Macaca mulatta: one gene and its partners. The protein of the gene in region 4 purifies or fractionates together with the protein of the main gene of each other region. This does not show direct contact. Links are inferred from orthologs where the notes say so. Each region holds a gene or a part of one and is shown on either strand. Other genes may lie near its edges. The genes, in order: USP9X, SMAD7, AMOT, ITCH, LAPTM5, MAVS and CPSF6.

Region 1 (3,436 bases), on a different chromosome or scaffold from region 4:
GGTAGATTTCCATAGGTGATTAGCTATAAAGTAAATAAACTAGTAAATAAATAGCAAAAGAAATGAGATGAAGAAACATTCTAAATGAAAACTTTTTCTTTCTGAAACCGAAATGTGACTAAATCAGCTCTTGTGAGGCAATGGTACTCAAACTTGAACAGGCATGAGTCTGCTTGGAGGGCTTGCTCCAGCAGAGGGCTAGACGCTATCCCAAAGTGTCTGATTTCATAGGTCTTCAAGGGGCTGGAAAATGAACATTTCTAACAAGTTCCCAAGTGATGCTGCTGGTGGTCCAGGAACTATACTTGGAGAAACATTTCAGGCATTCTTTCTTACGTTTCACTGTGTACACAGAAGCAAACTGAATAGTTAGGAAGTACACATTCAGCATACGTATTTTCATCTGTAGAAATGGGCGCAGTAGCTCATGCCTGTAATCCCAGCACTTTGGGAGGCTGAGGCAGGCGGATCACCTGAGGTCAGGAGTTTGAGACCAGCCTGACCAACATGGAGAAACCCTGTCTCTACTAAAAATACAAAATTAACTGGGTGTGGTGGCGCATGCCTGTAATCCCAGCTACTCGGGAGGGTGAGGCAAGAGAATCTCTTGAAGCCAGGAGGTGGAGGTTGTGGTGAGTCGAGATAGCACCATTGCACTCCAGCCTGGGCAACAAGAGTGAACTCCATCTCAAAAAAAAAGTCTAGAATCTTGGCGTGGCTGATGGAGCATATACAGAAAAATGAGAGCACTGTAGGGTTCAGACATTTTAAAAGGTTAAGGAACCAAATCCACAAGGGAGGTTAACTTCCTTTGACCCTGAGAAAGCTCTTATGTTAATCATGCCTGGTTACTTTATCATCTTGAACATTGTTCTGTTTTTAATCAGCATTATTGTGAGTTCAGGGTTACTACTCCTGTATATCTTGTATCATGGTTAGTCAATTGGATTTAGCATGTGGAAGAGTCAATAGATGCTCATAGATTGTTTTCTGAACATTTTTTTACCAAGAGCAACAGTGGGTTAATCCTTTATTTGCCAGACTTGAGTCTAAATCATTTTGGCACTAAAAATCACTTTGGCCAAAGATGTATGTGGACCTACACAATCACTGCTCTTATTCAGGGTTTGGGGGTTTGCATTTACATTATGTTTTTCTCTTTCAAGCCTTTTTTTGTTTTTGTTTTTGTTCTTGCACAATAGTAGTCCAACGGTATTTACAGAGTAAGTCCCAAGAATAAAAGTTTACATTTCCAGAGACTTCAGACCATGATTTTGAAGTTGTTTTACTATGTGAAAAGTTTTAACATGCAGATCTCTTCTCCTTTCCCAGAATAACCATGTGCATGGACAGCCATATACAGGCCCAGCAGCACATCACATGAACAACCCTCAGAGAACTGGCCAACGAGCACAAGAAAATTATGAAGGCAGTGAAGAAGTATCCCCACCTCAAGCCAAGGATCAATGAAATGCACATAATTAACTGGTTCCATCAAGACTGTGCACCCAGGCCTTACAGTCCAACCTTTTTCTGTGTCTGGCTAATATTTAAAACTAGAAAAACTATTCCTAATCAACATGGAGTGGAGAGTTTATTCACTGTCTTATCTGCAGAAATTTGCTGTCAATATATAACCCGCCTGCAGTGGAAAGTGTATAGTGTTTTGTAATAAATGGCCTGATGCTAATGTGTAAATGGCAAAGGTGTATATAGTATATTAATGTTGACTGTTAATTCTTAAGCAAGAAACTTTTTTCTTGATGAGACTCACAGATCTACACAAACTACAAAAGTTAATTTTCTTGTTATACCCACTGCACTCTGCAACCAGTGTTGCCTGCCTCATGGCAGTTGGTTCAGCTCCTTTACAAAAAAACCCAACAGCAACAAAACAGAGCCCATTCATGTCAGCCACACCAATAGTTTCATGTTAATTCTTTGCCACTGGAGTCAATTTTGCTATGAGCAATGTGTAAGGCTGGTAACCTTTAAATTATTTGGTTGATGTGGAAAATTGGTGATGTAACACTGTTTCTAGATTTTTTTCATTGCCTTTTTATTCTGATATTAGGTTAATCACTTTGAAGCTATAGTTATGCTGTAACATTTAGCATGGCTTCACACCAAGTTAGTGTAGCCAGTGAGGAAAAAGTTACCATAATGACAGCAGTTGTCCGAGAAGTGACAGCTGTATTACTCAGAGCTTTTACTTCTTACACCTAGAATATTAAAATATAAAACAAGGCGAGAAATGTGACAAACAGGCTGTTTTCAGTTGCACATATGTTCCTTATGTATAATGTTTGACAGTTCAATCTCTGGGTGGGATAAAGAACACTTACGTATCAGTAATGGGAATTTTAAAAAATATAAAACAAATATGCAAAAATTTGCTATGCCAAGATGCTGGAGCATAATAGAAGACTGTATTTGGTGTGCTTGTTTTGTTTCTTTGGTAGAGTTTATTAGGTGAATCTTCTCAAACTTTCCTTCTGCTGGATCCCAGTGACGTGGAAGTCATCAGAACCCCACGATACTTGGAGTACCTCTCTGCACCAAGATAGCTGGCTGATTTTCTGCTCAGTCACAATTTTACTTGAAAGCAAGAATTGTCCTAGCTCCTCTTCCATTATTCCAAAAAGTTTAACGTTCAAAGCAGGGTCTCATTAAAAAAGAAACTACTGGTTAGTTAATATAATTGAGATATCACAATTTCAGAATAAACATTTGATTACAAATAAGGAACTCCTCAGTTCATACTGTATTTAAAAGAGAATTGGTAACTTGAATGTGTGTAATTTTTTGGAACCTGTCTAAAAACCAAATACCCTGCAAACAGATACAGCCCACCCTATTCTATTTAAATATTTTGCTGTTTTATTTTATAGAAATTATTTTGCTGAATTCACAAATAGAATTTGATTTAAGAAGAACTTTTTGTCCTGTGGTGTGTGTTTTTTTTTTTTTTTTTTTTTTTTTTGGTTACTTTTTTTGTCCTTTTTTTTCACAGAGGACTGCATATTAAAATTCATTCTGTGCATAGCATGCCTAGGCATGACACTGATTCAGGATTTCAGTCACACTGAGTTTTTGTGCACAGAAAGATTTGACCTTTGGCCCTTTACTGAAGATTTTGAGAAATCAGGATGTTGACACTGTAAAAGTTTCCTAACATAATCTTGTACTTTTTGTATGTTTTTTATATACATGTATATTTAATGAGCACAAGCTTGGTTGTATTTTTTACAATTCAGTTAATAGGGAAATGTTTTGTCAAAAGGCTACACTTGGAACTGAACAAAGCAGAAACAAAATTGAGCATTGCATTATTTTGTGATTAAAAGGGGCAGGTATTTAAGATAAAGCTTTGGGTATCTTATTTGTAGTACTCTGTGGTCAACCTGTGCTTCTAGGTGTTCCTGTAATAGTAGGA
Region 2 (4,066 bases), on a different chromosome or scaffold from region 4:
TGAATATGAAGTGAGGTTAGATCACCATGCCAACCAGTGGCCTCATCAATACTGATGTGTGTGTATTTAAATAATTACGTTTCTCAGAGCCATCAGCTTTCACGCTGTATATGCGTTCATGCCCTAGCAATGCCATGCCCGTTTCTATGCAGTAACTCGCCAGCTTGAGTATATGTTTCTTCGGGACCTGGGGTCAAGGTATAAACTCTCTGACCCTAAGCACCTTGAAAGCTACGAGGCCCAGAAACAGGCCCTGCATGCAAATAAATGCCCTAGGCAGGTCTGCTCGCTGGGTAACCTTCCCGCGCCAGGAGGCAGGGTGGCTGGTGGCGGAGGTCTTCCGGGCCCGGGAGGAAACCTGCGGGCGGCGCGCAGGCGAGCCCCCGCCTCCCGCTCCCCTTCTCCCGCCAGGAGGCTGCCCCTCGCAGCTCGTCAGCCGGCCAAATGCATTCCATAGCTGTGCACAAGACACACTTCTCCAGGCAGTCCTAGAAACCGGAGCCCGGAGCGGAGAGGGCGGGAGGGAGCGCGCGGCCGCCGCTGAGGTCATATTCACGCCGCCTCCCCGCCCTCGGCGGCTGTTCCCCTCAGCGCACACTTCCCGGGGCCTCGGTCCAGTCCCGTATAAATGTCTTTTAAACCGAGACAGCGCTCTCCTCCCCTTGCCCTCCGGCGCGGCCAAGGGATCCGCCGCCAGGGCCTTTAAAACAAAACCAATGAATGAAGCGCTAGAGCGAGCGCGCGCGAGATGGCCACCGCGAAGCCCAGCCGGGTCGAAATCGGGCCACCGACCGGCTCTCTAAGCTCCAAAACTCGCAGCGAAGCCCGCTCGGTGCTCCCTGCTTTTCCAATTTCTCCATGGCTCCCGCCGGGGCTCAATCGATTCTGGGAGCTTCTCTGCCCCCCACCTCTCTCTCCCCTCCGTCGGTACCCCATCTACAGCCCCGGGAGGGGGTGGCGGTGGCGGGGGGTTGGGGGGAGAAATAGCTTTTAGAAACCCGATCTGTTGTTTGCGAAACACAATCGCTTTTTTTTTTTTTTTTTAAAGCGACAGGGTGTCTAGACGGCCACGTGACGAGGCCGGAGCCGGGCGCGCCACTGCGCAGTGGAACCAGCCGAGCAGAGGGCCGGAGGGGGGGTGCGGGGGGGCGGGGAGGAGGCGGCGGCGGCGGCGGCTGGGGGCGGGGGAGGGAAGGGGGAGGAAGGGGGAGGGAAGGGGGCGGGGGCGGGGGCGGGAGGCCTTGCGGGAGGCGGCGAGGTCTGGGCACACTCGCTTGCTGCTCGGCGCACTGAAGATCTTGTCCCCGAGCCGCGCCAGCCGAGCCAGCCGGGCGCCGTGCTCGGTCCGCTCGCCGCGCGGGAGAGAGCTGCCCGAGACAGAGCCAGTCCGCCGCCGCCGAGCCGCCGAACGCCCGGCCCCTGAGCCCCAGAGTGCGGCGCGGCGAGCCCCTGGCGGCGGCAGAAGGACCAGAGCGCCAGGAGAGGGCGGACCGGGGACAAGGAGGCTCCCGGGCGCGACGAGGAGAGTCTCGGAGGAGGAGGCGCCGAGAGGACACCGGGGCCTCCTGCCGCCGCTGCTGGGGCCAGGCGAGCAGCCCATGCGGGGACCCTCGGCGGGCAGCCGCGGCCAGGGGAAGGGACACCGGCGGCCCCCGCACTAGCAAGCAGCTTGTGCCCAGGGGGGGCGAGAACGCGCGACCCGCCTGGGGCCCTCCGCCGCCGCCGCCGCCGCGCCGCCCTCCCCCGCGCTGTCAGCCCCGCCGGGCTCAGCCGCCGCCGCAGCATCTTCTGCCCCTGCGCCCCCGCCAGCCTCGAGGAAGTCCCCGCCGAGGACCTGGGCCCCCAGGAGCGCAGGAGGAAAGACCAGAGACTCCCCTAAACCACCCAGATGCGCAGGATTGAAGCGGTCTAGCCAAAGCTTTCTGTGGATTAAAAAAATACACGATTTTTTTTTTTTTTGGCAGAAGGAGAGGAAGACCAGCGGGGCTTTGCAAGGAAAAAAGGGGGGGATGTAACTCGTGGATACATTTTTCCACCCCTCAAACATCTTGTTATACTTTGTAAACATTTTCTTTTTTTAAACCCCAGCTCCAGCCGGACGCCCCCAGACCTCAGAGGTTCGAGGAGGTGGTGTTTTTCATTTGGGGCTTTGCATATTTGGTTGTTAGGTTTTGCGAGAGCCTTCTTATTTCGCCAGACATCTCATGCGGGGTGAAGTCCACTCGGCCCCCTCCCCTGAGTCTTCGTGTGCACAGAATTCGAGGAGATCCGGTTACTAAGGATATAGAGAAAAAAAATAAATTGCGTGCTTGCTTTTTTTTTTTTTAATTGCCTGCTTCTCCCCACCCCCAAATTAAGTTGCTTAGCAAGGGGGAAAGAGGCTTTTTCCTTCTTCCAGCAGCCCAGCCGAACGCCTTTCGCTTTTTTGCCTCCGCGGACCTTCCATGTAGGAATCCGAGGCTGGCGAGCCCGACATTCGGGAGCCACTGCGGGGGGGCCTCTTTTTGGGGAGGCGCCGACGGGGGCAGGCTCGGCCGTCCCCAGGGAAGCGGCGGCCGGGTTCCTCCGGGGCGCGCCGGGGCCGGAGAGCCGCGCAGGGCGCGGGCCGCGCGGGGTGGGGCAGCCGGAGCGCAGGCCCCCGATCCCCGGCGGGCGCCCCCGGGCCCCCGCGCGCGCCCCGGCCTCCGGGAGACTGGCGCATGCCACGGAGCGCCCCTCGGGCCGCCGCCGCTCCTGCCCGGGCCCCTGCTGCTGCTGCTGTCGCCTGCGCCTGCTGCCCCAACTCGGCGCCCGACTTCTTCATGGTGTGCGGAGGTCATGTTCGCTCCTTAGCCGCCAAACGACTTTTCTCCTCGCCTCCTCGCCCCGCATGTTCAGGACCAAACGATCTGCGCTCGTCCGGCGTCTCTGGAGGAGCCGTGCGCCCGGCGGCGAGGACGAGGAGGAGGGCGCGGGGGGAGGTGGAGGAGGCGGCGAGCTGCGGGGAGAAGGGGCGACGGACAGCCGAGCGCATGGGGCCGGTGGCGGCGGCCCGGGCAGGGCTGGATGCTGCCTGGGCAAGGCGGTGCGAGGTGCCAAAGGTCACCACCATCCCCACCCGCCAGCCGCGGGCGCCGGCGCGGCCGGGGGCGCCGAAGCGGATCTGAAGGCGCTCACGCACTCGGTGCTCAAGAAACTGAAGGAGCGGCAGCTGGAGCTGCTGCTCCAGGCCGTGGAGTCCCGCGGCGGGACGCGCACCGCGTGCCTCCTGCTGCCCGGCCGCCTGGACTGCAGGCTGGGCCCGGGGGCGCCCGCCAGCGCGCAGCCTGCGCAGCCGCCCTCGTCCTACTCGCTCCCCCTCCTGCTGTGCAAAGTGTTCAGGTGGCCGGATCTCAGGCATTCCTCGGAAGTCAAGAGGCTGTGTTGCTGTGAATCTTACGGGAAGATCAACCCCGAGCTGGTGTGCTGCAACCCCCATCACCTTAGCCGACTCTGCGAACTAGGTGAGAAGTTGTCCCCTTACCCCCAGCATTTTCCGGCGCGCCAGTGCTGGAAGAAAAGCCCTTAGGGCAGTGCGTTTGTGCAGCCACCCCTCCAGGGGGAGTGTGCATCCCCTCCTGGGAGGAGACTGGGGGCCGAAAGTAGAGAAGGGACACGGGGAAACTCAAAGGGCATTCCCTGGGGTTTCCCTTCCAGGATTTCTCCTGTGTTGCCCCGAAGGGGTCTATGGGCACTGCTCCTGCACACAGTTTGCGGTTAAAAATTAGACGCCTTCATTTCCGGATCAACAAGGGGGTGCAGAGGGAGATGGGGGGGTCACGCCTCCCCGCACCCGGAAAGGCGTTGAGGTGTGTGACCGAGTTGGATTTGGTCCAGGCCCGCCAAGGAAGGCTGGGAGAAGCATGCTATAAAAAGGCTGGAAGGTCTCCGTATTTACTCCTTCAGTAAATAAGGAGAATCACGTCGAACACAAGTGGCCCAGACACTGTCGTGGCCGCGCAGCTTTGGAGTTTTGGGGCAAAGAGAGTTGGATGGAAGGCCGAACTGGGTATCTGTCTCATTTCAACTCTGCCAGCCCCAGGGTGCA
Region 3 (3,500 bases), on a different chromosome or scaffold from region 4:
CTTTAAGCTTCTCCTACCCAATAACAACAACAACAAATCTCGATGACTATTTCGGGAGGGCTGAAAGGCAACTTTGTCAGTAATAAGTATTCCAAGTCCTTCTCTTATTAAGCCAAGCAGCATCCAAAATGGACACTACAAAAATGATTTTTTAAAAAGATGTTTCAGAGCCTTATGAGATCAGAGAAAAAGATTTGCATCGAGGCAGGGATCATTACTATCTGGTGCAAGCCAAGCTCTCTTCACCTTTTATTTATTTGAGTCTTTATTTTGCATTTTGTAGCTCGCTTCATATGCTGAGCTGCTTTACAAATCCTGTTATGGGGTAATTTTCCCCACTGTCCTGCCCCCACCTCCACAGTAATAAGATTTGGGTTTTTACCTTAAATAGAATACAGAGAGATGAAGCCTGTGAATATGGACCTTGAAAAGTTACCCGCTTTAATTACCCTACTTGACTGTTCCAGGTTTCTCAAGCATTCTTAGGAGTTAAGTCCAGATTGAATATTTAGCTCATGCTAAAAGTGAAAGAGGAAGCCTAGAGCTCTTATGCCTCCACTTTCCTCATCATATCAGTGCTAGGGCCTGGAATCCCCAAAAATCTATTAATTTTAGGTTAAATTCTCTACTTTGTTTCTGCAATAGAATCCTCACCCTCCAATATCCATTTTCATTCCCTTTAGAGGACTAATTTATCCATCAACTGGGTGTTAAGCTTCCTGTTTCCCCTTCCCAGGTCAAGGGCAGCCCAGGTGCCCAATTTCTCTCTCTCTTCACAAGGCACCACCAGCAATAGAGATGAGAAATTCTGAAGAACAGCCAAGTGGAGGGACCACAGTATTGCAGCGTTTGCTACAAGAGCAGCTTCGCTATGGCAATCCTAGTGAGAATCGCAGCCTACTTGCCATACACCAGCAAGCCACAGGGAATGGCCCTCCTTTCCCCACTGGCAGTGGGAACCTGGGCCCTCAGAGTGATGTGTTGAGTCCCCAAGACCACCACCAACAGCTTGTGGCTCATGCTGCTCGACAAGAACCCCAGGGGCAGGAAATCCAGTCAGAAAACATCATCATGGAGAAGCAACTGTCTCCTAGAATGCAGAATAATGAAGAACTCCCGACTTACGAAGAAGCGAAGGTTCAGTCCCAGTACTTTCGGGGCCAACAGCATGCCAGTGTTGGAGCTGCCTTCTATGTCACTGGAGTCACCAACCAGAAGATGAGGACCGAGGGACGCCCATCAGTTCAGCGGCTCAATCCTGGAAAGATGCACCAAGATGAAGGACTCAGAGACCTTAAGCAAGGGCATGTCCGTTCCTTGAGTGAACGACTAATGCAGATGTCACTGGCCACCAGTGGAGTTAAGGCCCATCCACCTGTTACCAGTGCTCCCCTCTCCCCACCACAACCCAATGACCTGTACAAGAATCCCACAAGTTCCAGTGAATTCTACAAGGCCCAAGGGCCACTTCCTAACCAGCATAGCCTGAAGGGCATGGAACACCGAGGCCCCCCACCAGAGTATCCCTTCAAGGGCATGCCACCCCAATCTGTAGTGTGCAAGCCCCAAGAGCCAGGGCACTTCTATAGTGAGCATCGCCTGAACCAGCCAGGGAGAACAGAGGGGCAACTGATGAGGTATCAGCATCCCCCTGAGTATGGAGCAGCCAGGTAAGAGAGTTCTCTTTCTGTCATTTCCTGACCTCATCCCCAACCAGCTTCTGCTGTGTGTTGGGAATCTTAGGGAGGGAATGGGCAGCTGTTTGGTATAACAAACTCTGCAATGCATGACAGGCTTCTGGCTTAGAGAATTGCCTGCCAACCTGAATTTGTAGCCTCTGTAGCCATGATTAGCACTGTATTAACAATCCCTTAGCTTTGTAGGTTGAGCGTGGCCTCAATGGCCTAGTGGATGAACAGGAGCAAAAGTCTTGATTTCAGCGGCTATTCGCTGTCCTGTCTCCTAGGATGTTGAAGAAGGGGTCTGTGTTTCTCATAAACCCTCCTTGAGAAGTAGAAGCAAATTACCTTGCACTTTAATTAGTCTGGAACATCCTATCACTTGCACATATTCCCCTCCATGAAGTTCTCATCATTTATTTTTGCAAACAAATCTGTGTATTTCTTGTCAGTTAGCATTTTTCCATAGAATTACCATTATTCTTTTGGACACTAAACAAATACCCAGATGTTATGGTGGGGGAGCTATGTATGTATGTAGGTTCAGAATGTTACTTGCCTTATGCTTGCAGTTTATGAAATCTGGACTGTTGTATCTTTTTTTGGTAGAAAATTTATTAGTTGCCTGTCACATTTTTAAACCTTTGAGTTAAATTCCCATCACATCATATAGAAATTGTAGTCAGATGCTAAAATACAGAAGGAAAAATAGTACCATTTCTGTCTTATATACTTAGTTGTTCCTATATATACTTCTTAATTATTCAGAGGTCCTTTGTCCCACTGCTATATTCACTAGATCTTATGATTCTATGATTCTGTTCATTGTTCCTGTTGTTAGTATTTGGGCCATGTCTCTGATCAGTAGTATTTCAACATATAGGGCAGGAGAAAAGGTTTAAACTGTGGGCACCAATGGTGGCATTTAAGTGTGGCATCCTGCCCCATGACCGTGAGTAATGATGGGTGGCCATCAGGTGTGAAGTGCTTGGTCCTAGGCTGGCCTTCATCTATATGCAGCTCACAGACTAGGTCTGTGATGTCCTTTGATGTCTACCTCTTTGTCTCCTGTACCCTACTTGCTTATTTTGGAAAAAACCTTCTGGCTTGAAGTTCATTGAGTGACTCAGGAGAGAAGGCAGTCATGGGGTGGAGTAGGGTGAAAGTAAGAGAAGGCACCTAGCATTTCCTGGTATTTCTTTGTTTTGCCCTCCAGGTCCTGTTTTTTTTAGCCAGAGGCAGTTCGCTTTGGGCTCCACCCCTAACATTGCCAGTTTAGGATTTTTTTTTCCCTCTTAACCCAGGTTGATTTCCTAACCCTTCAACCTCCTCTGTGCAGCTTTCAAAGCGCAGGAGCCTATGTTCTGATAAGTGTCTTGGAACAGGAAATGGGGTAACCGACAGGGCCACTCAGGTTTAAAAGAGATCAGGAACCAGATTCCCATCTGACCAATGAAACGGAAGACCCGGGGAAAGGTTGATCTGTTCAAGACTGCTTCACTTAGTGGAAACCCATTCAAGCCAGCAAAATATCAATGAAGCTGGGGGTTTCTGTTTTACTTTTCCCGTCAGTATGGAAGAGTCTGTTGATGGGCTGACGTCTGTTGCCTTGTGGGAGGGGAGTGTGTTGGCTGGGGTGTGGAGCAGAAGCCACAGCCCCACTCAGCACACAGCCCGCCTTCCTAGGAAAGCTATTTTCAGAACTCATTCACCAGTATTGTTTGTGATCTGAAATGACTCCCACAGTGTTTGAAGCTAGATGGAAAAGCCCTTTGATCTCCCTAAATAAATAATAGGGAGCCCAAAGAGGGTTTTTTTTTT
Region 4 (2,541 bases):
TCCTCCCCACTCCCATCCATGGAAAAATTGTCTTCCGCAAAACCATTCCCTGGTGCCAAAAAGGTTGGAGACCACTGCTTTAAACAATGACTCCCCATGACTCCCTTTCCCCAGGTCCTGGCAAACATCATTCTACTACTGTTTCTATGATTTTTGACTGTCTTTAGTACTTTATAAGTGTAGAATCATATCTTATTTGTCCTTTCATGACTGGCTTATTTCACTTAGAATAGTATCTGTAATTTTCATCCATGTTGTAGCATGTGTCAGCATTTCCTCCTTTTTAATGCTGAATAATATTTGATAGTCTGAATATACTACATTTTGTTTATACATTCATCTGTCCATGGACATTTAGATTATTTCCACCTTTTGGCTGTTTATGCTGCTATAAACATATGTATACTGTGGTAGAATATAGATATATCTGTCCATGGCCCTGCTTTCGATTGTTTTGGGTATATACCCAGAGGTGGAATTCCTTGATCATGTAATAATTCTATTTTTAATTTTGGGGGGGAATCTCACCATACTGTTCTCCATAGTGACTACACTGCATTATAGTCTTACCAGTAGTGTAGAGGGGCTCAAATTTCTCCACATCCTCATATCCTTTTCAACTCTTGTTTTCTTCTGTTTTTTGTTGTTGTTGTTGTTGTTTATTTTTTTGTTTGTTTTAAATAATAGCCATCCCAATAGGTGTGAAGTGGTATCTCATTGTGGTTTTTATTTGCATTTACCTAAGGATGTTGAGCATTTTTTTCATGTGCTTATTGGTCATTTGTATGTCTTTGGAGAAATCTCTATCCTTTGCCCATTTTAAAATATTGTTGAGTTTTAAGTTTTTTATATATTTCGGATACCAGTCCTTTATCAGATATATAATTTACAAATATTTTTTCCCATTTTTGGGTTATTTCACTTTCTTAATGGTATCCTTTGAAGCACGGTAGTATAATTTTGTGCTTCTATAGTAGTGTTATACTACACTACTCATTTGATTCTTTGCATATTTCCTTTTCTAAAACTAACAATTCTTGCTTTTAGTTTTAATCGCCTGGACCTTCCACCATACAAGAGCTATGAGCAACTGAAGGAAAAGCTGTTGTTTGCCATAGAAGAAACAGAAGGATTTGGACAAGAGTAACTTCTGAGAACTTGCACCGTGAATGGGCAAGAACTTATTTGCAATGTTTGTCCTTCTCTGCCTGTTGCACATCTTGTAAAATTGGACTATCGCTCTTTAGAGAGTTATCTGAGTGTAAGTAAATTAATGTTCTCATTTAGATTTATCTCCCAGTGATTTCTACTCAACATTTCCAGAAATCAGGTCTGCAAATGACTAGTCAAAACCTTGCTTAATATGAGATTTTAACACAACAACGAAATCTGCCTTGTCTTATTCCACTAGTTTGTTCCTTTAACAACAATTCTGTATATGTGTCAAAAGTCTCACTTGGGAGTAGTTTTTTTTCTCTTAGAGATTCTGCAGATATACAGGGAAGTCCTTTGGTAACTGCAATATACAAGATCTGCCTATTTAACCTCTTGGTAAGAGGCATTTGTTAAAAGTGGAAGCTTAGCCCAGCTTCTGGGGATGTGAGCAAAATTCTGGCTTGTGTTCTCCCTCTCATTTTAGTCTGACTTGACTATTGTTTTTCCTTTCTGGAGCATGAATCCATACATCATTCCTGGAAGTGATGCAAGACTCTTGCATCTCTACAAAGTAGTTTTGTCAATTTGAATTCAGGGAAAAGTTCTTCACAGCCTACAAATGACTTCATTTGGAAGTTTGATTGTTTCAGTTACCTGGCAAATATTACACTTTACAATGTTAACACTGTGATTCCTTCATTGTTTTAAGAAGTTAACCTAGGGCCGGGCATGGTGGCTCATACCTGTAATCCTAGCACTTTGGGAGGCCGAGGCAGGAGGATCCCTTTAGCCCAGGAGTTCAAGACCCGCCTGGGCAATATAGGGAGACCCTGTCTCTTTTGGGGAAGGGTAGGGGGAGAAATAAATAAATAAAAGGAAAAAAAAAGTTAACCTAGAATTAGAATTAATTTAACTGAATTCATCTAAGGATGTCACTGGTGATTTTTATATGTTCCTCTACATAATTGATGCTTTATAATTTTATCATAATCCAACAACTTCATTTATATTTAATTGTTAAGGAGTTTAAGACTAGAAAGACTAGAGTGTTTTCTAGTCCAAATAGAGGTCAGTGAAACAGCTTTTGACATCAAATTTTCATTTGAGAGGAAAGCTGTGGTACTGGCTAAAAACAAAGGAAGATAACATCCAGTAACCACAGGAATATATTCTCTGTGAATTAAAAGTCTTCAAAGTTACCATTTCTCTGACATATGTTGGAGTAGTCATTTCCATTCTTTACATTGTCATGAACTGGATTGATACCCCTCATCTGCCATATTCTTTTTACCCCTAAAATTTTTAACAGGGTTTCCTTTTTTTCTCATGACTATTTAAGTTTAGATTGCTCCATTATTAACTGATTAATGCACTTTGAAGTTCTCT
Region 5 (3,500 bases), on a different chromosome or scaffold from region 4:
GGCTCATGTTACCAGGGAACCAAGGTCACCAGCCCAGGGAATCTCAGGGAGAAACATGGTTCGCCAAAAGGTAAATGTGAAGATCTCCAGCATGCAGGTGGGACCTCCGAACACACCCGCCTCCCCCCCGTCTCGGCACCCAGCACTGCCCATCAGCGGGTGTGAATAACAGGAAGGGGCAGGGGCAGCGGGGCTCCCGAGCCCTCACCTTGACCACACCGATCAGCAGGCTCAGGCTGATGACGAAGAGCATGGCGATGAGCATGAAGCTGGAGATCAGGTCGGCTGAAAGGCAAGGAGAGCAGTGAGGCGCTCAGGCGTACCCCCAGCACCCAGCCAGGCTCCCAGGAAGACACTTCGGGAACCACTGGTTTGGGGACACGAGGGTGCACAGGAAAGCCCAGGCCCTGCCCTCACGCAGTCCTCAGTCTGGAGTGGGTACAACGACAAAAGCAGAACATCACGCGTAGCACAAGGTGGATGCGACAGAGGGTGTTGGGCTGGAGGTGCAGGCTGGGGTCCACTTCAGCCAGGGTGAGGCCGAGGAAGGCATCCCTGGGGAGTGGCCTGAGAGCAATGAGGAGTCGGCCTGAGACAGGGACAAGGTTGCTGAGGTCAGTGTGGCTGAAGCAAGGTGTGGGCTGAAGAATTGCAGGGAGATGCTGTCAGAGAAGTGGGCAGGGGCTGGGTCCCATGGTGAGGAGTTTCCATTTTATTCTAGTGTGATGAGCAGCCACTGACAGCTTTAAGCAGAAGAGTGAGGCTGTCACCTTTACCAGCTGGTGGGGGTTTGCAAAGTGCCATTCCATCTGCTCTCACCACCTGCATATGTGGGTGGGGTCAGGTGGAACATCCCCATTTGCAGATGAAACAGCCGAGGCCCCAAGAAAGGAAGACACTTGCCAGAGGTCATCCATCGTCCATGGAGAGGTGACAGGGCCTCCAACCCCAGCCTGGCTATCCCCAGCCAGGGCTCCCTGTCCTCCTCCCGCCGCCACTCCTCCGGCGTCCCCTGGACCTACCGATCCTGAGGTAGCCCATCTTCGAGAGCTTGCAGGACGCCTTGCCATGGGCCACCTCTATGGAGTGCTCGATGAACAACAAGACGCTCATGATCTGGAGGCAGAGCAAAGCGTCAGTCAGCTGAGCCTGCATCACGGCCCCCCGACCAGCTCTTCCCACCTTAGTGGTGTACAGCAGGGAAGCCAGTAGTGAGGATCCTGGAGTGGATGGCATGCCAGGTCAGTAGGGCATCCCAGACAAAAGAGTGGCCTTTACATAGAAAGCCCATGCTCAGAATCCTGGGTCTTCCTCTCTCCAGCTGTGTGACCCTGGACAAGCTACTTGACTTCTATATGCCTTGGTTTGCCCATCTGCAAGATGGGGATAATATTAGTAACTTCCTTAGGAGGCTGCCGTGAGAAGTAAATGAGACTATCCCAGGAGATCCCTTGGGCCCGGCTCTCAGTAAGAGTGGTAACTGTTACTACTGAAGGTCAGGCTTAAAGGGGTGGGGTGGGGGGTAGAAGTTGAAGGCCCCTCCACTGCACCCCCTTCTCTAACAACAGGCTCTGGGGATCAGAGAGCATCATAGAGCTTCAGGTTCCCGGAATCATCAACACAGGCCCGGGAGGGCCCTGGAGAGCATCTAACCCTGAATCCCTGTCTCCCATGGCCCCTCAGGGAATAATAACATCTTCCTCATAGGATTGTGGTGGAGCCAGATGGGATAATTCACTTAAAGTACCTGGCAGATAGTAAGCACTCCATCTGTGCTATTATTATTACCGTTATCCCCACTTGACTGTAGGTTCCAGGCAGGGAAAGCTTGTGTGTGTCTTTGTTCATCCCCCTAGCTGTTGTATTTGTTGAATGAATGAATGAATGAATGAATGAATGAATGAATGAACAAATGAACCCCACGCTCTCAGAGGACCGTTGCTAAGAATGATGGGGAAGGGGCGAATCTGATAGGCCAGAGTGTTGGGGTGGACCTAGAAACCACTGAAATTCAGCCACAAAACTGCAGTTTGAAAGAACCTTGGAGATCACCTTGTCCATGCCTTCCACCAGCCAGTGCAGGAATCCTGTGCCATGCAGCCTCTGCTGAAGTGCTTCCAGCCATGGGGAACTCACAACCTTACGTGTGTCCATGTCCTTGCAGCAAGCCCTCCACCCTTCCCCTACGACACACATGCAGTTCTCCTCTGCCCATATAAAGAACAAGAAGACTCTCCCCTCCCTTCTAGTGGGTGCCCTATCTCTATTAATATGGCCCTAAGTTTACATTGGCTTTCTAGGCAGCCCTGCACTGGTAACTTATGCTCAGCTGACAGGCAACCAGCTACCCACCATCTGTTTCCCCCTTGCTGACTGTGTGGGTTTGTTTTTTGTTTTTTTTTTTTTAGCTCAGACACAGGTCTCAACTTGTCTTCCTGCCACATTACATCCTGTTTATGGGCGTGGAAAGGGACTGAACAGAAGAGTGATGAAGAGCTGGGCTCCAGATCAAGAGGGATTTGAATCCAGATCACTGTGTGACCTTGGGCAAGTCTCTTAACCTCTCTGAGTTGCCTCATCTGGAAAATTGCAATCGCTGGATTCAGTGAAGATTAAATTGCATTATACTTACAAAACCCTGAGCTCAGGGACTGGCAGGGGGTGCCCAGCAAACAGAATCTGCTTTTGGCTGGGGCAAGCTTACGTGGTTGGGCAGTAGTACCAGGAGCATGGTGCATGCTCTAACTGCCCCCTCTAGCTGCTGGAGAGTGAGCTGGAAAGGCTTTGTCTCATCATGAAAGTCGAGAGCACCCTGAGCAGAAGGCAGGTGTGGTGAGGGCTATGGCTAACACTCAGAGGAAACAGCCCTGAGAGAAAAACTCCTTCCTCAGTCCCTAAAGGCCAAGCCGCAGCCCCTCTCCTCTCAGTTTCACCTTGAACGAGAGAAAGAGAAAGGGAGGCAGATGACAGCTCCATCCAGCACAGAACGGGGTGTCCTGTGAAGTGGTGAGCTCCCCGTTCCTGGGAGTATGTAAGCAGATCACAGATGAGTCACAGCTGGGCTTAGAGAAGGACCATGAGCATCAACCAGCTGTGAAACGAGAAGACTTTCAAAGTGTCAAGATTCCAGGAGTATCTGAGATCTGGAACAAAGCCTAGAATCAGATCATCTCAACCTCCCCTTGCTAGAAGGAGCCTACCTCTACTTGTTTTATAAGCTCCCTCTGCTTGTTTTATAAACTCAGAGAGATTAGGTGGCTTGCCCAAGGACACACAGCAAGTTGAGTGGGGGATCCCAAGTCTCCCAGTGCTATTCTGATGCCTTCCCATTCCCCTGACCCCCAAAATGCCTCAGAGCCCTGCTAGCCTGAACCCTGGGGAGGACTTAGATGTTTTCATCATGCACCTATGTCAGTAAAACCTTTTGAACACACGCCTCTATCTTCCTTTCTTTCTAAATTACATGAATGTGTTACTGTCCTAGTTTATCATGAACATCA
Region 6 (2,349 bases), about 7.1 Mb from region 4:
CAGGCTTTCCCTATTCCCTGGCCTGCCTGTGAGCTCATGCCCACCTGGAAGCCCTTGGTAGGGCAGGGCCCCATCCTGCACTGACATCCTGCCTGGGCCTGAGAACTAGAGAGCAGCCACAGGGTCAGAGGCCTGGCCATGTGCCCATAGGGCCATATGGACTTGGCTCCTCCCAGCAGACAGCCACAGCTAGAGTCAGATGTGAGGCTTGGAGCAGGCAACAATGGGGGGCTGCTGGGTCATAGTGGCTGCTCAGGTGGGACTGCGTTCTGTAAAGCCTGGCCATGGAGGGGCACACCGGGCATCCTAGTGGCGAAGAGCAAGGCAAGAGGCAGATGGGCCACTGTGCTGTCCCCCTCACTGCTTCCTTATATTCTAAATGGCACTGTTCGGCTTCACTAGGAGCTACGAGCCTTAAATGAACTTATGCACCTGACCAGTGGGTGCCCCCTGTGGCTGACCCTCCTGAGATGTCCAGACTTAGGAGCTCTAATGACTGTTCCTCCTGGAGAACATGGTGTGGGGCCTACATGAGGCTGGTTCTGTATACCTGCAAGGAGAGGCCATAGAGCAGCCCAGGCTGGAGACAATGCAGACTGGAAAGGGGCCAAGGCTGGGGCCAGGTGGGCAAGCTCTCCCAGGGGAAGGGGCGTGGATCCCTGCCAGGAGGTGCAAGGACTTACCTCAGTTCTGCTGCTCCTGTCAGTGGGGACTGTGCTGGCAGACACCTTGGTGCGCACCATGCTAGCAGGCACTTTGGATGGCACCATGCCAGCACGGGTTGAGTTGATGGGCAATTTGGATGGTGCTGGATTGGTGAACACAGAAGGCACTGTACCAGGGGGCTTTGAGCTAGTTGGCAACTTGGAGGGCACTGTGCTGGCAGATGCTGGGTTGGCAGGCACTTTCGGGGCCACTGTGTTCACAGGCATCAAGGTGGTAGGCACTTTGGAGGGCAGAGAGTTGGCAGGTGCCTCTGCCCCACTGGAGCAGATGATAGGCTCAGCCTGGTCACTCTCTGCACCCTGTTCACCCTCTGCAGCCCCTGCAGAGGCCAAGCCAGGGGATGAGGAGGAGGAGGAGGAGGAGGTGCCAGTAGATACAACTGACCCTGCAGGTCCAGGCAAGCGGCTTGCCCTGGGGGTGGAACGGGCCAGGGGCTGGAAGGAGACAGATGGAGACACAGGCCCACGGGATGGTATGAGGCTGGAGGTTGCACCTGCAGGTGGCAAAACACAAGTGGAAACACAGACCCAAAGACCGTTACCTTGAGGCCTGGAGAAGGGTCCCTCTGCCCCAGGTTTCATGGTCCCTACTGTGTCTAGGCCTCCAAATCTCCTGCCCTTGAAGGAGATGCCACAGTCCCTTTAGTCACTGTTTCCTGGCCTGAAAGCCCAACAGCTGCCCTCAGTCCTTGACCTGTAGCCCCAGGTCTGTCCTGGCACACAGTGAAATGGTACCTAGGAACTTGAAGATCATTATTAATTATTCTCTCCGCTTTTTCCTCTCCCACCTAGGAAACCTCCCCTCTCCTGTGTCCACTTTTTCTACCTTGACCTTAGCCTCATGGAATCCTGAACACTTCCCCCATTGCTGTCCCTCTCCGACCACCACGAGTGGAAGCAGTCGTGGATCAGGGTGAGGGGTGGCAGGACGGCGCATGCAGAATGGCTCATACCAGCCAAGAGGGCTGGCCATCCCAGAGGCTTGGGAAGAGAGGCAACAGGGACAAAGCCACCCCTGGGAGGCTGCCTGACCTGGGTCGGGGAAGCAGGGGATAGCAGGTAGTGATGGTCTATAAAGGCAGTTGCAGCAGGACTCTCCACGGAACTCGGAATGCACATGCCAAGCCCCACAGCTGGCAAAAGTCAGGGTGATTCTGATGTACACCTCCCCCACGGCAATCTAATACCACAGAATCTCATGGGACCTGTGTCTACAAACATACTGAAACCTAAGTGCCCTCTGCCTGCATGGTCTACAGCAACTCCTGAAAGGCATCCCATGGCCAGATGACACTACAAAGCATAGACAGGTGCTTGGAGCAGTTTGGGGATGACAAAAGTACTAAGATGACGTCTCCCAGCCTTTAACTGCTCATTGTCTTGTGGCTGTCCCAGGGCACTGAGGGCTGACTGGGCACCAGCATCATGTGGAACAGTTTGGGAAGTAGGAAAGAGACATGCTAGCCTGAGAGGTCCAGATGGACAACTATATATTTCTGAGGGGGAGCACTGAGGTCTGGAGTTGGGTCCAGGCCACTGGATGATGAAGAAGTCTGGGAACTGAGAAGTTTTCATGATTCACTGGGAACTGGAGATCTCTGCGGTAAGGCAGTGCCTAAAGGCT
Region 7 (3,970 bases), on a different chromosome or scaffold from region 4:
GATTATGTCATACAATATTTTTAGTTATTTTGAGTTTTGATTGCATTTTGACTGCAACCTGGCACATAAGATCAGGTGTGGAATTTTTCACTTGCGGCATCATGTCAGTGCACAAAAAGTTTCAGATTTTGGAGCGTTTCAAATTGTTGGATTAGAGATGCCCAACCTTACAGATGTTGTTTGGGTTATTCTATGGATGATTTCTCGCCAGTTTCTCAGGAAACACGCTCTACTATAGTATATTTCTTAATGAGTGAAAAAGAAATAAAGAACGGAGGGGAAAGTTTCAAACTGGAGAGACATCCTTGAGTAAAGTATCGTGGCTGAATGTTCCTACCTTTATTGACCATGTGACCTGGTTAAATCACTTAGGTTCTATTAGGCTTCAGTCTTCTCCTCTGTAAAATGAGATGTTTGGACCTAAGGACACCTTTCCAGTTCCCTTCCCGCTGGGACATTCTAGGATTCTGAGAAAGAAGCCCCTGGCCTCAAGAGACCTCCACTCTCTTGGGTGTGCTCTAAGATGACTGCATTCATTTTAGAAGCATCTGAACTATGCCAGAGACAACCTACTGTAGATCTAAGGAAGAAAAAATGAAGGGCAATGAATGCGAGAAGAAGGGGAGAGGAAAGAAGCCCATGAAGATTAGAGATGGAAATGGCAACATAAACAGCGTGCAAATATAACCACTGACGGGTATCTAGCGTTTACATGCAAATAAAATTCTGCTTGTCTCTGAGGATGCAGAAACAACACATTGTTTTTGGCCTTAAGCCGCTCACAGAATGCCCGGGGGTTACACTTTGTATTTAACCATGAACATATAACTTCCACCTTTAGAAGTCCTGCATGTGTGAAAGGTAAGAAAAACGGATAAATGAAAATATTAACAAAACGTTTGAGTATGGCAGAGGCCACGTGAAAAGACGATGTGTGGAAACAGGTGGGACCCACTGGTAAACTGGATGCGCGAGGAGGACAAAGAAATTGCCCCCCACTCCCGGGCCTCACCCAGACACAAAAGAAACGCCCTCTGCCCTTAGAGGAGCAGCCTTTCCTCAGCCAGCCGAGCGGCTGGGTTGCACAGTCCCCGCCCCCGGCCGGCCCCTGTCGCTCCCGCCTCCATCCCTCGGGCCTCGGAAGTGACGCAAGCGCCCCCCACCGCCGCTAGATCCGCTGCTGCTGCCGCGGCGGGCGGACCTGCAGGAGGAGGCGGCGGCGGCGGCGGCGGTGGCGGCCGAGGCTGAGGGAAGATGGCGGACGGCGTGGACCACATAGACATTTACGCGGATGTGGGCGAAGAGTTCAACCAGGTACGTGAGAGCCCGGGTCCCCGTCGCCCATGCGGGCGGCGCTGCGGCTGGGACGCTGACCCGGGGCCCGCTGCGGCCGCGAGCCGAAGCGACTGCAGACTATGCGCCCTTGCCGCCTCTGGGCCGCGCCGCCGACCCCCGGCGTGGCGGCCCCCCCCCCGCCCTTCGTTCTACCGCGTCGTTTCACGGGCCGCGGGCGCGGCGACCCGTCGCGGGGCCCGGAGCGCGGATGCGGGCGGCTGTGCAGCTGCCGCCGGCTCCTCCCTCGCCGGCGCTGCCTCGCTCCCTATTGTTGGCGGCACCCGGCTGGCGCTTCCCGCCGCGCTAGGCCCGGGCGGTGGGGCCGCGTGTAAGCGGCGGAGAGAACTGGCCACCGCCGCGCCCCCTCCCCCGTCGCCGGCCGGAGGAGGAAGCCCCGGCAGGGCGCGCGCCCGCCGCCGCCGCCCCTTCCCCGCCGCTGCCGCTCGGGCTCAGATTCCTCCCATTGCTCCATTTTGTCTCCCTACCCGCGCACTATCGCCTCATGGAAGGCCGCATTCACGGCCCTTTGTATCCCGCGCGCCCAGTCCCTGGGGCTCTCCTCGGGTTTGCGACAGGTTTCGGCGTGGCGCCTTCCTCCTCCCTTCACACTTTCTGAAGGCGGCTGAGGTGCAGGCTTGTTTGCAACAAGTCATTTGACTTTTGGAGCCACAGATAAAAGTCGGTGCGCTGGTCCTGCCTTGTTAATCCAGGGCTTGCAATGCCTTTGAAGCCCAGTCGTTTTTGGCCTTTGTTATGAAAATACCTGTGAAGATGGGTGGCCGGGGACCTAAAGGAAGATTGGAAGCGCGATGTTTGGATGGAACAAAAAGATGTTAGCTCACCCACAGGTCTCATAGTGATTAAAATGAAAGAACGTTCACCCCAAATCCTATGATGTGGTTTAAAAATAGAGTTGTAGATAAGACCCTGTTTTCGAAAACAAAGTGTTAAATCCCCCGGCCCTGCATTACCTTTTGAAAGGTTGAGCGAAAGTGAGAATGCAAGGTTTTCCTGAACGACGTTGCTTAGAGGTAACGCGGAGCTGTGATGTCTGATAATGGGCATCCTTGCAAAAGATGTCGTTTGTTGCTAGAGTAGTGACGTTTAAGGTTTGAACCTGCTGGTCGTATCTTTACTGCATTTTATGTAGTAACACATTTAAAACAAATTGTGCCTAACTGCCGTGTTCCTAAAAGCTTTATTTTTTTGTATTCCCCAGGTCCTTATGAGAAGCTTAATAAAATAATACTGGCTTAATGTGTTTTTTTCCCCCTCCATTAACTGTCATATTCGTGACTAGTTGCTCAGGCTTTTTAAAAACAAGGAAACTCAGGAGCTCTTTACTGTTTTATTTTTCAGGAATGACTTTGTTCTGGTTTAAATATTAGAAAACAGAAAACTACTAGTTGGCTTTAAATGTTTGCTACTCCGTTGAAGACTGGATTTGTTTAAATGTAATACATTGTAATGAAAGGTTAAGTTTTTAAATTTTTGTGTTTTTAAAATTGTGCTTGTTTTAAATAATAATGCTTGAATTGTGTCAGTTACAAATCAGATACATTCCTCGACTGCAACACAGATTCTAACGCTTATAAGACCTCTAGGAAATTTTTTTCCTTTTATTTATCAAGTGAATGTAACAGTGCGTTTAGAAGAGGGCCGTAACTGCAAGGAACAACGATTAAGTGTTCAAGGCTGCCCTTGTTAGCTTTTCTTACAAGAGAATACTTTGCTTCACCTTTCTATGCACAATAAAAGAAGAATTGGGACACAATTTTAGAAGTTAAACTTTTTTCAGTACCTCTTAATGAAATATGTTTGGGCTTTTGCATTCTTAATTTGAGAGGGACATCTCCCTTTTCCGGATAGCTGGGTGGATTGTTATCCCTGTGCAGTAACAAGTGCTGACTGGGTGGGAGGTAAGAAGAGATTAGTTTTGTGGACCCAATGAGGGACTCCTTTTAAATGTAACTTTTCAACGATTTGTATAAGGTACGTACCACATATCTAACACAGTTGTATAATTTTGCCAGTAAGATCTTTATATGTTTGAATAGATTGATGGCGAGGATACATAGAGGCATTGTTTTTGCTACTTTGCATATCGTTGGCCAATCAATGATTGATTGATTTGTATATCTTTTTGCAGTACCACTGCTTGCTGTGGTTGTTCCTGTACCAAAAAAAAAAAAAAAGTCACAAAAGGATAGTTGGTTATTTTCAGAGCTTATCCTGCTTTTAAAAATGTTACTGTCATTGAAATGTTTTTCCAAAATTTTGCCACCATTAGAGGCAACCACAAAATAATTTACAACTGATTTAATCTTTACTAGCTGGTGACCTTATTTCTACTAGTTGCTATAGTAGACTTGACCTCTTGTTTTATTGTTGAGTAAAATACTTTCCTAAGTATTAGCCAGTTTTGACTTATTTTGGCTTCAAAACTGTTGTAAACATTAAAAAAAAACTTTGTTTTCCAGTGTAAACTGCAGTTCTAATTGGATTTGTGTACTTTGAAATTCGGCATAGTCTTTATTTCCATTTTCTACTATTTTTTTGTCTGTATCCTGCTGAGTCTCATATTTTAAATGTCATACTTTTATGAAGCTTGTTTGTATTTTGGTAAGGTACAATA

Evidence for each region.
Region 1: the proteins of ITCH (region 4) and USP9X purify together in Homo sapiens (affinity purification with western blotting; 3 studies listed by BioGRID, with this or other methods). This does not show direct contact. The link is inferred for Macaca mulatta from reciprocal best matches to the Homo sapiens genes ITCH and USP9X.
Region 2: the proteins of ITCH (region 4) and SMAD7 purify together in Homo sapiens (affinity purification with western blotting; 4 studies listed by BioGRID and IntAct, with this or other methods). This does not show direct contact. The link is inferred for Macaca mulatta from reciprocal best matches to the Homo sapiens genes ITCH and SMAD7.
Region 3: the proteins of ITCH (region 4) and AMOT purify together in Homo sapiens (affinity purification with western blotting; 3 studies listed by BioGRID). This does not show direct contact. The link is inferred for Macaca mulatta from reciprocal best matches to the Homo sapiens genes ITCH and AMOT.
Region 5: the proteins of ITCH (region 4) and LAPTM5 purify together in Homo sapiens (affinity purification with western blotting; 3 studies listed by BioGRID and IntAct, with this or other methods). This does not show direct contact. The link is inferred for Macaca mulatta from reciprocal best matches to the Homo sapiens genes ITCH and LAPTM5.
Region 6: the proteins of ITCH (region 4) and MAVS purify together in Homo sapiens (affinity purification with western blotting; 3 studies listed by BioGRID). This does not show direct contact. The link is inferred for Macaca mulatta from reciprocal best matches to the Homo sapiens genes ITCH and MAVS.
Region 7: the proteins of ITCH (region 4) and CPSF6 purify together in Homo sapiens (affinity purification with mass spectrometry; 5 studies listed by BioGRID and IntAct, with this or other methods). This does not show direct contact. The link is inferred for Macaca mulatta from reciprocal best matches to the Homo sapiens genes ITCH and CPSF6.

What each region holds. Positions count from the first base shown.
Region 1 is NC_133426.1:41,117,346-41,120,781, forward strand, and holds the end of USP9X (ubiquitin carboxyl-terminal hydrolase 9X), read left to right. Parts: intron 1-1,332; coding exon 1,333-1,470; 3' UTR 1,471-2,936; downstream 2,937-3,436.
Region 2 is NC_133423.1:43,377,159-43,381,224, forward strand, and holds the start of SMAD7 (mothers against decapentaplegic homolog 7), read left to right. Parts: upstream 1-1,266; 5' UTR 1,267-2,869; coding exon 2,870-3,482; intron 3,483-3,849; exon of another isoform or gene 3,850-4,027; intron 4,028-4,066. UniProt on the Homo sapiens protein: Antagonist of signaling by TGF-beta (transforming growth factor) type 1 receptor superfamily members; has been shown to inhibit TGF-beta (Transforming growth factor) and activin signaling by associating with their receptors thus preventing SMAD2 access.
Region 3 is NC_133426.1:119,532,664-119,536,163, reverse strand, and holds part of AMOT (angiomotin), read left to right. Parts: intron 1-736; 5' UTR 737-798; coding exon 799-1,670; intron 1,671-3,500.
Region 4 is NC_133415.1:87,291,546-87,294,086, forward strand, and holds the end of ITCH (E3 ubiquitin-protein ligase Itchy homolog), read left to right. Parts: intron 1-1,047; coding exon 1,048-1,147; 3' UTR 1,148-2,041; downstream 2,042-2,541. UniProt on the Homo sapiens protein: Acts as an Acts as an E3 ubiquitin-protein ligase which accepts ubiquitin from an E2 ubiquitin-conjugating enzyme in the form of a thioester and then directly transfers the ubiquitin to targeted substrates.
Region 5 is NC_133406.1:210,124,936-210,128,435, reverse strand, and holds part of LAPTM5 (lysosomal-associated transmembrane protein 5), read right to left. Parts: intron 1,117-3,500; coding exon 1,023-1,116; intron 286-1,022; coding exon 209-285; intron 1-208. UniProt on the Homo sapiens protein: May have a special functional role during embryogenesis and in adult hematopoietic cells.
Region 6 is NC_133415.1:80,202,719-80,205,067, forward strand, and holds part of MAVS (mitochondrial antiviral-signaling protein), read right to left. Parts: intron 1,220-2,349; coding exon 684-1,219; intron 1-683.
Region 7 is NC_133416.1:76,357,354-76,361,323, forward strand, and holds the start of CPSF6 (cleavage and polyadenylation specificity factor subunit 6), read left to right. Parts: upstream 1-1,170; 5' UTR 1,171-1,254; coding exon 1,255-1,314; intron 1,315-3,970. UniProt on the Homo sapiens protein: Component of the cleavage factor Im (CFIm) complex that functions as an activator of the pre-mRNA 3'-end cleavage and polyadenylation processing required for the maturation of pre-mRNA into functional mRNAs.